2 separate regions of the Mus musculus genome follow, and region 1 is reported to be linked to region 2. Evidence: microRNA targets listed by miRTarBase, many of them from high-throughput screens and not tested one by one. Region 2 holds a microRNA gene; the other region holds the end of a gene's coding sequence.

Region 1 (5,379 bases), not on the chromosome of region 2:
TGGTTGTGGTGATAGCTACATTTTCCTTATCATCCTTCCCTATACCTTTGCCACTTTTAGAGATGTGTCCTATGCCTGGGCTTCTTTCCTGGTGGCCCTCTTAGTACTTAGGTGGAGGGCTCATGGGCCCTGAGCCTTTTCCACTGCCTTGACCTCTAGGGCTCCCACACCTTAAAAGGCTACTCCTTAACAAGCTGTGCTGGGGCTGAAGAATATGGTCTTGTGGAACCAGGAAAGGGGACACATACCATCCAATAATAGGGATGAACAGACCCTGCTAAGTGTCCTGGGACTCAGAAGGGAGAAGGGTTTAGCTTCCATCATTGCATACACTTGTTCCATCATCCCGGAGTGGGTATTTGTCTTTGCTGTAGCTTCACACTGATTGTTTCTCTTTGTTCCCTTTTGCAGAAGGCACTCTGCTCCTTCCAGATCTACAGCGTGCCCTGGAAAGGCACACACTCCCTGACAAAATTCAGCTGCAAAAATGCCTAAGGGCTGAGTCTAGAAGGATCATGCAGACTGTTCCTTACTTGTGCTCCTTCCCTATAGTGTTTCATCTCGCAGAAGGGTGCTCCGGCTCTGGAGGGCACCGCCAGTGTGTTTGCACCAGGAGACAGTAAAGGAGCTGCTGCAGGCAGGTTCTGCACATCTGAACAGCTGTCCCCTGGCTCCACTCTTCTTGCAGTACCTGCCATGCCTTGCTCAATTAAAAAAAAAAAACTCCTTTGGCTCTGTTTGAGTTGTTTCTGTCTCAGGATAATGCAGCAAGGAAACCCAGAAAACAAGTGTGTGTGTGTGTGTGTGTGTGTGTGTGTGTGTGTGTGTGTGAGAGAGAGAGAGAGAGAGAGAGAGAGAGAGAGAGAGAGGGAGAGAGAGAGAGAGAGGGAGAGGGAGAGAGAGAGAGAGAGAGAGAGAGAGAGAGAGAGACCCAGAACCCACACAGCACCAATTCCTATACTATTGGGCCTGGGTCACTGGTGTCTATGGGGTGACAGGGATACTCCCAGCCCTTCTATGCCCTGATATAACACAAGTCTTTTCATGCAGCTTCAGGGGAGATTTAACCCAAATGAAACAGACATAAAGTCAATTCCAACTTACAAGTAGGGAGTTTTAGTTAATATCACCTTAGTGCCATGATTGCATAGATCTGGGGAGGCTACAAGGTTGTATAAAATACAAGTCCTCATATCCTATTGCTCAATGTCCATCCCCATGTCCTCCAATGTAAAGGGGAGTAGCCAAGCTACTGGGACCTGTGTTCAAATCACAAAGGAGATCAGAGCTGCATTAGGAAGCTGTCTTCAGGCCACTGGTGTGAACACTAAAGGGCAGTAGAGGTCCTTCAGTAAAAGCCAAAGCAAAGCCCGAAGGGAAGGCAGAGCCTCTCTTCTTGGTGACCTATTTCCTCTGGCCTTGTAGGCAGGCTCTTCCTCCTCTGATAGTGATAAATTAATGTTCTTGAGGTGAGAGAAGGGAAGACTCAAGTAGAGGGTCTTGAGTTCCAAGACCTGAGTCTAGGCAAGGTTGGAGAGTTAGTGTCCTTATTGCCCAGGGTCTTCAGCAGAATGGTTGGCTCAGTATTAAGGGTCTTGGACAGCCCTGCCCACAGGAAAGTGTGCACATGTTTTGTCTGTGTTACTGTGTGTTGTGATAGGTTTATTACTTGGTCCTGAAATTCACTGGTGGTCCTGACGTTCAGGTGTATGGTCTGTGTCTCTGCTGCTTGACTCTGGATGGTGTGTGACTCATCGGGTCATGGAGAAAGTGAGATGATAACATGGTAGGCTAGAGCAAAACCAAGAAAGATGCAAAGTTCCTGCTGTGCTTTCCTAGACCCGACCCAGGGGAAGCAAGACTTCTCTGAAGGTAAGCCCATCTTCCCCAAAGCCATGGGACCATGTGGGGACAGCAGACATTATCTAGCTGGGTCTTTCTGATACCTTGATCTACAACATAAGAAGCAGGTTAAAATGTTTCTTATCTGTGAGTGAAGGCAAGTCATTACACAGCAATAGTACCTAGGGTGCTCCCTATCTCTCTCTCTCTCTCTCTCTCTCTCTTTCTCTCTCTCTCTCTCTCTCTCTCTCTCTCCCTCCCTCCCTCCCTCCCTCCCTCCCTCCCTCCCTCTCTCTCTCTCTCTCTCTCTCTCTCTCTCTCTCTCTCTCTCTCTCTGTGTGTGTCTCTCAACTAAAGCGTGAAACCCAGCACATCTGGAAGCTGCCTGCCCCAGCTCTGTGACCTGAGTCACCTCCTATACTCACCTCGCAGTAGTTCTTGGGATTTATGAGAATTTATTATCTAGACATTTTATAGTATAGTTCAGTATAATGTATGAACTTTCTTATATAAGTAAATATTAATCCAGCCAAAATGTTCATAGAATTTGCTTCAATGACCTATTTTTTCAAAATATCTTTAATTTTTTTGGTTTTTTTTGTAATGTATTTTTATTTTTAAAACTTTTTACACAAGACATTTTGTTCATATTCTTTTCTTTCCCTCACCTCCTCCCACATCTCTCCCAGGCCTCACAAACTTCACCAATTTCATAGTCTGTCCCTCTTAAAAAAGAAAGAAAAGAAAAGAAACCCAAACATGAAAACAAAAAAAAAAAAAAACCTAAAAATCCCAAACACACCGTTTTAGTTAGAGTTTTACTGCCGTGAACAGATACCATGACCAAGGCAAGTCTTATAAAAAACAACATTTACTTGGAGCTGGCTTTCAGGTTCAGTGGTTCAGTCCATTATCATCAAGGTGGGAGCATGGCAGTATCAAGGCAGGAATGGTGCAGGAGGAGCTGAGAGTTCTATGTCTTCATCCAAAGGCTGCTAGTGGAAGTCTGACATCCAGGCAACTAGGGTGAGGATCTTTTACCCATACCCACAGTGACACATCTATTCCAACCAGGTCACACCTATTCTAACAAGGCCACACCTTCAGATGGTGCCACTCCCTGGTCCAAGGATATACAAACCATCACACACACAGATCCCGCCCACATACCACATAGACAAAACCTTCCTTTTTAAAAAGATGTTACCATTAGAAAATGGAAGACAATCTCATTTTTAAATTTATCAAGTTAATTTTTTAAAAACCACAACCCAATTAAAATTGTAAAAAGTCTCAATAGGTATATCTCTAAAGAAGATAGGCAATTTAAAGCAAAAAGAATTTAGCTCATTTTTCATTCCTGCATCCCTGAGTTCTCTTCACATTTTGACCTTAGAAGAAGTTGGCTTGCAGTAGGGTATGTGGCTTCCTGTTTGGTTTCTTCACTGTTAGCTTAGGGCATGGGCATTTCATGAATCTCAGTCTCTACGTTTGTCATTGCTCACACAATCACATTGTTGCACAGATCCTGTTTCAGACCAAGCTGTGTTTATGCTCATATAAGCATCAGTGTTATGTTTCCCTGGAGCTTTGGATTGATTCTAGCATGTATATGTTAAATGTGTGCATTGACTTTTCTCTGCTACTATATTTCTGTAAAAATTATGGTCTTGGAAAATGGTGGCTTGCCATTAACATGTATTTTACAGTCATGTATTTTCATTTGTGTTACTTTGTTTTGGAGGTACATTATGCCAGGGAATGAATGCAATTTGATGCATATGAATTCTATTTATATTTAAAAATAATTTATACTGATAAAGTTATTTGTTGAAAAAAAAAAGAAGATAGGCAAAACATTAAGACATACATGAATGGTTATCACAAATCTGAGGATAAGGTCAGTGAAAAGCATCTGTCCCCACTTCATACTTATGGTGTCATTGAAAAAAGCTAACAAACAGGAAACCCCAACTCAACTGGTGAGGTTGGTGAAAATGATTTGGGAAAACTGCTTGGCATATCCTCAAAGCATCCCATAAGCCTAACAGTTCTACACCTGCTTATATATCCAAGATAAACAGCATAAAGTGACTGTACTCTCAAGCTTATACATGCCGTCTTCTAGCTGGGCTATTCATAACAGAAAGAAAGAGAAACAACCTGGGGCTGGAGTGATGGCTCAGTGTTTAAAAGTGATTAAGGCTGCTTTCCCACTTGAAACTTAAAATCCATTGTGGGATGACACATTGGCCTATTTTCAGTATCATGCCCCAGAGAGATACGGAGACCTGAGGAGGTCTAGCAAGACTGGGAAGGAATCAACCTGTGGAGCTGTGTTGATGTTGTCAAGCTGAACCTGATGCCACAAAGCTGTTGTTTCAGCTATTCGGAAAGTTTACGTTGGAGGAGTCCAAGTCCAAGGCTAGTCTAGACAACTCAGTGAGAAACTCCCTCAAAATAAAGACTTAGAAATGGCTGGAGATGTATCTGAGTGATAGAATTCTTGTCTAGCATGTACATGGCCCAAGTTCAACCCCAATATTACATAGTACTGTACTAGTCTCATTTCAGTTGTGATAAAATATCATGGGATGACCTGATTTAGGCAATCCCTCATTGAGACTTCCTACCCAGGTGATTCTTCATTACTTCGAGTTGACAATTAAAACTAAACACCCAGACAATTATAGCAGTACCATCTAAGGTTATAACCTTAGATCACAGAGCACCATAACTAACGCAAAAGTTAGAAATACTATGAAAATTATAAGAATGTGACCGGCACAAAGTCAAGAAGGGATCACACTGCAAAAGTGACACCTGTAGATTTGCTCAAATGTATGGTTACCTCAAACGTTTGATTTGAAAAAAAGAAAGCAGTATTTGTGAAAGGCAATACAGCAAAAGACAATACAAAGTCATTTATGCTTATACAAAGTGGACGGCTGAAATGTGTGCATGGGGTAGGTCTGGGAAAAGAGCATGAGCTCCCATGCCCTTTCCATTCGTCCATCTCCATCCCCACTTCCCACGTGTGGAAATGCAAGGACCCTCTTTTGGAGAACATTTTTGAAGATTCATTGCATATACACAGTCACCCATAGTTAAGATTTCTATTTCTGTGATAAGTATCATAACCATAGCAGCTTAAGGATGAAAGGTTTTATTTCACCTTACAGTTTGTACTCCATCATCCAAAGGAAGTCAGTGAAGCAACTCAATGCAGGAACCTAGAGACAGAGACTGATGCAGAGGCTGTGGAGGAGTTCTGTTTATTGCCTTGCTCCTCATGACTTGCTCAGCTTCCTTTCCAGGAATACCCTCCTGGAGAGATGTACTTACTTAATCACATCAATCATCATCCCAGCCAATGCTCTGTTGCTGTGAAGAGATCCCATGACCACAGCAACTCCCTTATATAAACAAAAACAAAACAAAACAAAACCATTTAATTGGATTTGCTTACCCTTTCAGAGATTTAGTCCATTATCATCATAGCAGAACTCAGGTAGACATGGTGTGGGAGAAGCTGAG
Region 2 (5,379 bases):
ATAGTGGAACAGGCATTTGGCCACGGAAGTCTCTTCCCATCCAGTCTTGTTTTCTCCCAGCTCCTTTGAACCCAACATTGCTAATTTTTTTCTGATAAAAAAAATACAGGCTTGGCATGAACTTCATCTTGATTTATAGTATTCACTTATAATTCAGCTCCAGGGATAGCTATTATCCCTGTCTGTTGGGTTATAAAAGAGCTGGTTTGTGTAATGGATGGCAAACCAGATTTGCCTCTGAGTCCAGGAGATAGCAGTGGGTTCACCTCTTTCTGTTTTTTGACCCCTTCTTCTTTGCAGGCCCCGGGGGCCAGGTGAATAGTTGTCTGTCTCTTCCCTCCGTCACTTCCCCTCAAACGCACACCTGCCCTTTGCCTAGGACTGTGGATTCTGCCGTCTTGGAGCTTTGCTGTGTGACAGTTTTTTCAACTGCCCTTGGAATGTTGTGAAAATTCTCAGCAGTTGGCACCCTGGTTCTATAGCTGGGTGGAATCTCAGATCCCAAGGGCTGTAGTCCAGATCATAGTGGGGTCCCAGCAGTTGGGTCACTGGAAATGCTCAGTCCACTTAATGACAATTCCCATTACAGGTTTCAGGGTGGTCACTGCCTTATCAAAAGTCTTGCTAAAAAACCCTCTGATACGGGAATCCTAGTGTGCTGGGTAGTGGAGGCTGTGGTATTGGGACTTTGGCCTTGACACAACCCTTTCCCCGCCCCTTCTCTTGTTTAAGGTTTGCTATGGCTCACATACTTCCAGGCAGACAGCTGAGTACCTGCTGCCTGCAGAGAAGGGTCTGGGGTGGAGGTTCAGTGTCAGGTTTAATACGTGTTGCCTTTTGCCCAGCAACGACATGTGCCCCACCTCTGGGGAGCTGGCCACTGACAGATCTTGGCAGCCTGGCAGGGTGGGCTGCTGGCTTCTTAGTCTTAGTGCTTTGCTCCTGTGCACTGGGGTGGGGAGCATCCTAGGGAGGGCTAGAGAAGAGGCTGCCACGAACGCATGGCCTTAAACACCCCTAGGAGCCTCTGCAGTGCCATCTACCCTGTATCAAGGCCTGCACACTGCACAGGTCATCTGAGAGACAGAGGCCTTTCTTTTTAAATAGCACACATAAAAAGACAGTGGCTTCGTAAGGCCTCATTTGGAGATTGAATTTTTGAAAAAGCCTTTGGCTCAAGGCACTCTGGGAATGAGGTTCAGGACACAGGGCTCACCTGTGCTAGCCACCCCCTTCGCATGTCAGTCCTGGGCACTTTTGGAGGGGGTCTCCTGCCAGAGACTCACCTCCTTTCTCCCCTGGTAGATCAAGGCCTTACAGACTCTTCGGCAAGTTTTGTGGAATAGCTAGATGTCTTTGCTGCCTTGGGCTGAACTGAATGCAAAGGGGGACACAGGGGTAGCTGCCTTCTAAGTGAGGAACCATCATTATCTTCACAGTTACAACAGGAGCAAAGAAACTTCGACAAAAGCTTTCCACTCAGGCCTGCGATGTGTTCAGACCTAAAAAGAGTTGCAGCTGTAGGGCTATAGCTTAGCATGGGCTTCCTATTCTGGTGATAACTGCTACTGGTACATGGCCCAGGCCAAGCCTCATTCTAAGTGTAGACTACCATGACTGTCTGCTTAGAACGGCTGTGTCCCTACCCCTAGCCCAGAGAGTTGATTTGGAAGAAAAGCCCAGGTTCAGTTTCACTTCAGTTGAAATGATCACTCTACCCTGGCTATGACAGAATGACAGAGGGCTATCTATGCTGGGACTGTGCCCTTCCTTAGCCAGATCCTGGAGAAGAAAGGACACAGCCCGGCCAGGGGCTGGGGAGAAAGGACTCATCGGCTATGCTGGGGAGCCTGGCTTTCGGGCTTAGGCACAGAGATGGGAGTGAGCAGATGCGGCAGAACCTAGGAAACAAGGGAAGGGATGTTCACAGAGGAAACTAGGATGGGAGGGAATGGGGTTGCTTCTCTCTGGATTTTATCCCGTAGACTCTGGTGAACAGCTGGGCAGATGGAAGGGTTTAGGTGGGTCATGCCAGATGCAACAGATGCAATTCATTGGCTCTAGTCTATAGGAGACAGATCTCAGTGAGGTCAGGATTGGGGTCAAAAGAAGGAAGGCTTTGACAGTGGAGAAGGGCAAGAAGAAAAGCCTCAAGAAGTGCACATGCAGAGGGAGGTGAGCTGAGATAAGATGCCATTATCTAAAAAATAAAATAAAATTAAATTAAAAATTAAAAATGGAGTTGGCAGGTGAGTTTTGGTGGAACTCTACATCCAGGGGCCTCTTTAACAAGAGGGCAAGGGCAGATTCCAGGGACATGAGTGTGGAGGGGGAAGTTGAGGCGCAAGACCAGAAGCAGAAGGAAGTGGGGAGGTGGGTAGCTTCTTGGGAATCCAGAAGAGCATGGTCCTATGTAAGAGAACTAACTCTCCACATGCCTCAGAAGGGCGAAGTACCGGCTCTCTCCTGCCAGCGGCTTAATGAGCTCTTTGTCTCCCAATATATATAGCAGTGTGTCTCTCACACACTGTGGTTGCTAAATTAATGTCTGAACACAGATGTAAGGGAGAGCACGTGGTAAGAGGGTGGCCCGAGAGAACCCTAGTGGATTTGGCAATGTTGGAATGGGATAGATGGGATGTCGGACGGGTTTTGGGAAAAAGACTGCTGGTTGGAGGGAGAGAGGGAGGAAGAGGGCAGGACTTGGGGCGGAGCCTCAGTGTGGTGGGGGCAGAAGGGAGGCAGTCTTCCTCGGCTTCTTGTGGAAGTTTACCCAAGACAGGAAGGGAAAACACACAGCCAAAACCTTGAGGTTGGAGCACATTTAAGGGATGAAAATGGATGCTTATTGACTCTTCCATCTCTCTTCAAATGTTGCATGTTCCTTGTAGAACACGTAGGGAAGTGTTTATGAGAGATTGCCTGTAATTTCAGCCATGGTGCCGGCTGGCTGCATCGCTCATATCCTGGGATGCATGTGGCCCTTGGGTGGCATGTTGGACACACATCTGGTACTGTTAAGCTTTAATTTCTTTCCAGGCCTTTGTTCCTTTCCTCAACATAAAAATTGCGGCGGCGGCGGTGGTGGTGGTGGTGGTGGTGGTGGTGGTGGTGGTGGTGGTGGTCTTGTCATTGGTAGGAATGGCATCACTAAGAACTGTATTCTACAACAGTATCTTTCTTGCTTAATTTCTTGAAAACGTTTCTGTATTCAACATCCCTTAAATATTACCCATCTCCTTTAAACCTAAGATCCAAGCAAGTGGTTCAAAATGCAATAGCTTCCAGAGACCACTCTGGGGAAGGCGCCCTTTCTGCCCCTGCTTCTGAATCACTAGGCTTCCTTTCCAGGCTGTAACTTTTTAGAGGAGAAAGTTCTAGTATGTAAGTAATCGAGAAACGACTAAAAAAACGACCTGCCGTGTTGCCTATGTAGAGACACTAGGGCCTCATTTTCTATTGTCTGCGAGACTTCCACAGTTCTCCTTGTGGCCAAATCGTGCATGCGCACCTTGTTTTCTCCAAAGACGTTTCTAGGTAGAAACGTCTTTCTAGGGTAGAAGGACAAAGCACGTTCCTGGAAGCGGTGCTCCTGGAAAAGAAAACTTCCAAGGTCATATTTTCTTTCTGAGGAAGTTTATCAAACAGATGGTGCGCTCCGAGCGACGAGCACAGCGGCTCATACCCTGATTCTGCCCTCCGCCTGTCAAAAGTCACTCCCTCGAATGGTGCCCACCGTAGTTGGAGGGGACAGGGAAGGGAGATGCCAGCGAGCATCTCTAATCCTCACCAGTGAGCTGTCTTTTAGATGATGTGAGTGGCATTTTTGGTGGTGGTGGTGGGGGGGGATGGGAAATTGTAAGTGCTGACTCCCCTGGCACTGCTCCCCTGGGAGCTCGTGGACGATGACAGCGCCATGGCTAGAGGTGGCTGTGCCACCAGGAAACACAAAACTAGGGGACAAGCCTTTTTTTTTCTCATTAATTTATTTATTCACTTTACTTTCCAAACATAAGCCCTCACCCCCTCACATAACTCCGGCCCTACTTCCTACTCTCCTCTGAGAAGGGGGAAACACCACCCCCGTCCCTGCAACCCCCGTGCAACCAGGTATCAATCCATCCTGGCACATCAGTCACTGTAGGACTAGGCTCATCCTCTCCCACAGATGCCAGACAAGGCAGCCCAGTGTGAGGAACGGGATCCACAGGCAACAGTCAGGGACAGCCCCTGCTCCAGATGTTGGGGGAGCCCACATGAAGACCAAGCTGTACTTTTGCTACATATGTGCAGGGTTGCAGCAGAGGGGGGAGGGCTAGCCCCAGCCCATGTCTTTGGTTGGTGGGTCAGTCTCTGGGAGCCCCTGAGGGCCCAGGTTAGTTGACTCTGTTGGTCTTCTTGTGGGGTACAAAGGGAAGGGTCGCTGCCTTGCAGACTGGGTTATTGTTTGTGTGCTTTCCCCTCTTGAAGAGACAATGTGAGACTTCTTTTTCTGGCAGCTGTTCAGGGTGCTGTTGAGAGTTCTCGTGAAGGTTTGCAGAGAGTTGGTGGAGGTGGGGGAGGGGGAGGGGGAGGAGGAGGGAAGGGGGGGTCACTGCTCTAGGTAGGTGACTCCAGCTGCTTTATAGACTTTGTCCACTGCTCAGTCTCTGGGGTGGGAGCATGTGCCCTGCTGCCCTCTGACTAGGACTGCTTCATGACTCCTGATGGCAGAAGAGAAGCCAAGGGCGGCTTCCTCTTGCCCTTCTGAGGGTGCAAAGGTGGGAGTCATAGGAAGATGCCACTCTTATTTCCAGGTGAGCTAGAGCATCAACAGGGATAGATTATTTTTCTCCTTTGTGTTCACTCCCTCTTTGGGTTACTCTTAAAAATTCCTGCTGCTAGCTGGCTGGTGGTGGGGAAACTTCCTTCTGACTCTTCTGCTCTATGTGCTATTCAAGAGGAAGAGTCTCTTTCCTAAGGAATATGTGACAGCATAAGAGATGCGTTACAGCCAAGATATCTTGGCTTCTATTATGCAATTTCTTCTCTGGGTTAACATTGTCAGGGACCTCTGTGATGCTTGTAGATCTAAGTCTGGGAGGTGAAACTCCTTCATGGCCCATCAGCATCCCCAGTGACTATAGTGCCTTTAAGGCTCACTGCTTAGCTGGATTCAGAGGGTGATGAGCATTTGTGAGTTGTAACTTGCTTGGAAACCTGACTTGAATCTTCAATTATTGCCAGTTTTCAAACCTTGCTGTTCCTGGGACTTAAAACAGAGATTTGTCTCAGGTATCATCAGGCCCTGAACCTCAGCTTGGCTCTTCATTTGTTTCTGTATTAGTGTCCTAGGTTTGCTGTCAAAAGGATTCTACAAAGTGGACAGCTCCAGACAGA

What was found. Region 2 holds the annotated microRNA mmu-miR-7234-5p (UUGUUUUCUCCAAAGACGUUUCU, at 3,513-3,535, shown strand). A microRNA usually pairs through its seed, bases 2 to 8, with sites in the 3' UTR of a target mRNA and lowers its output. Matches are read on the target gene's strand: a 7mer-m8 pairs with bases 2 to 8, a 7mer-A1 pairs with bases 2 to 7 and ends in A, and an 8mer does both.
Region 1: miRTarBase lists Cst3 as a target of mmu-miR-7234-5p. The part of its 3' UTR that is shown has no 7-base or 8-base seed match.

What each region holds. Positions count from the first base shown.
Region 1 is chr2:148,867,076-148,872,454 of GRCm38, reverse strand. Cst3 (cystatin C) reads left to right here. Exons shown (of 3, transcript NM_009976.4): 3 at 412-733. The coding sequence ends at 495. Among named protein-coding and RNA genes, the nearest start is that of Cst3, 5.7 kb to the left of the region's middle.
Region 2 is chr7:73,816,078-73,821,456 of GRCm38, forward strand. Mir7234 (microRNA 7234) reads left to right here and starts at 3,513; the gene lies at 3,513-3,564. It overlaps Gm10619 (predicted gene 10619), which reads right to left and starts at 426. Exons shown (of 4, transcript NR_077222.1): 1 at 1-426.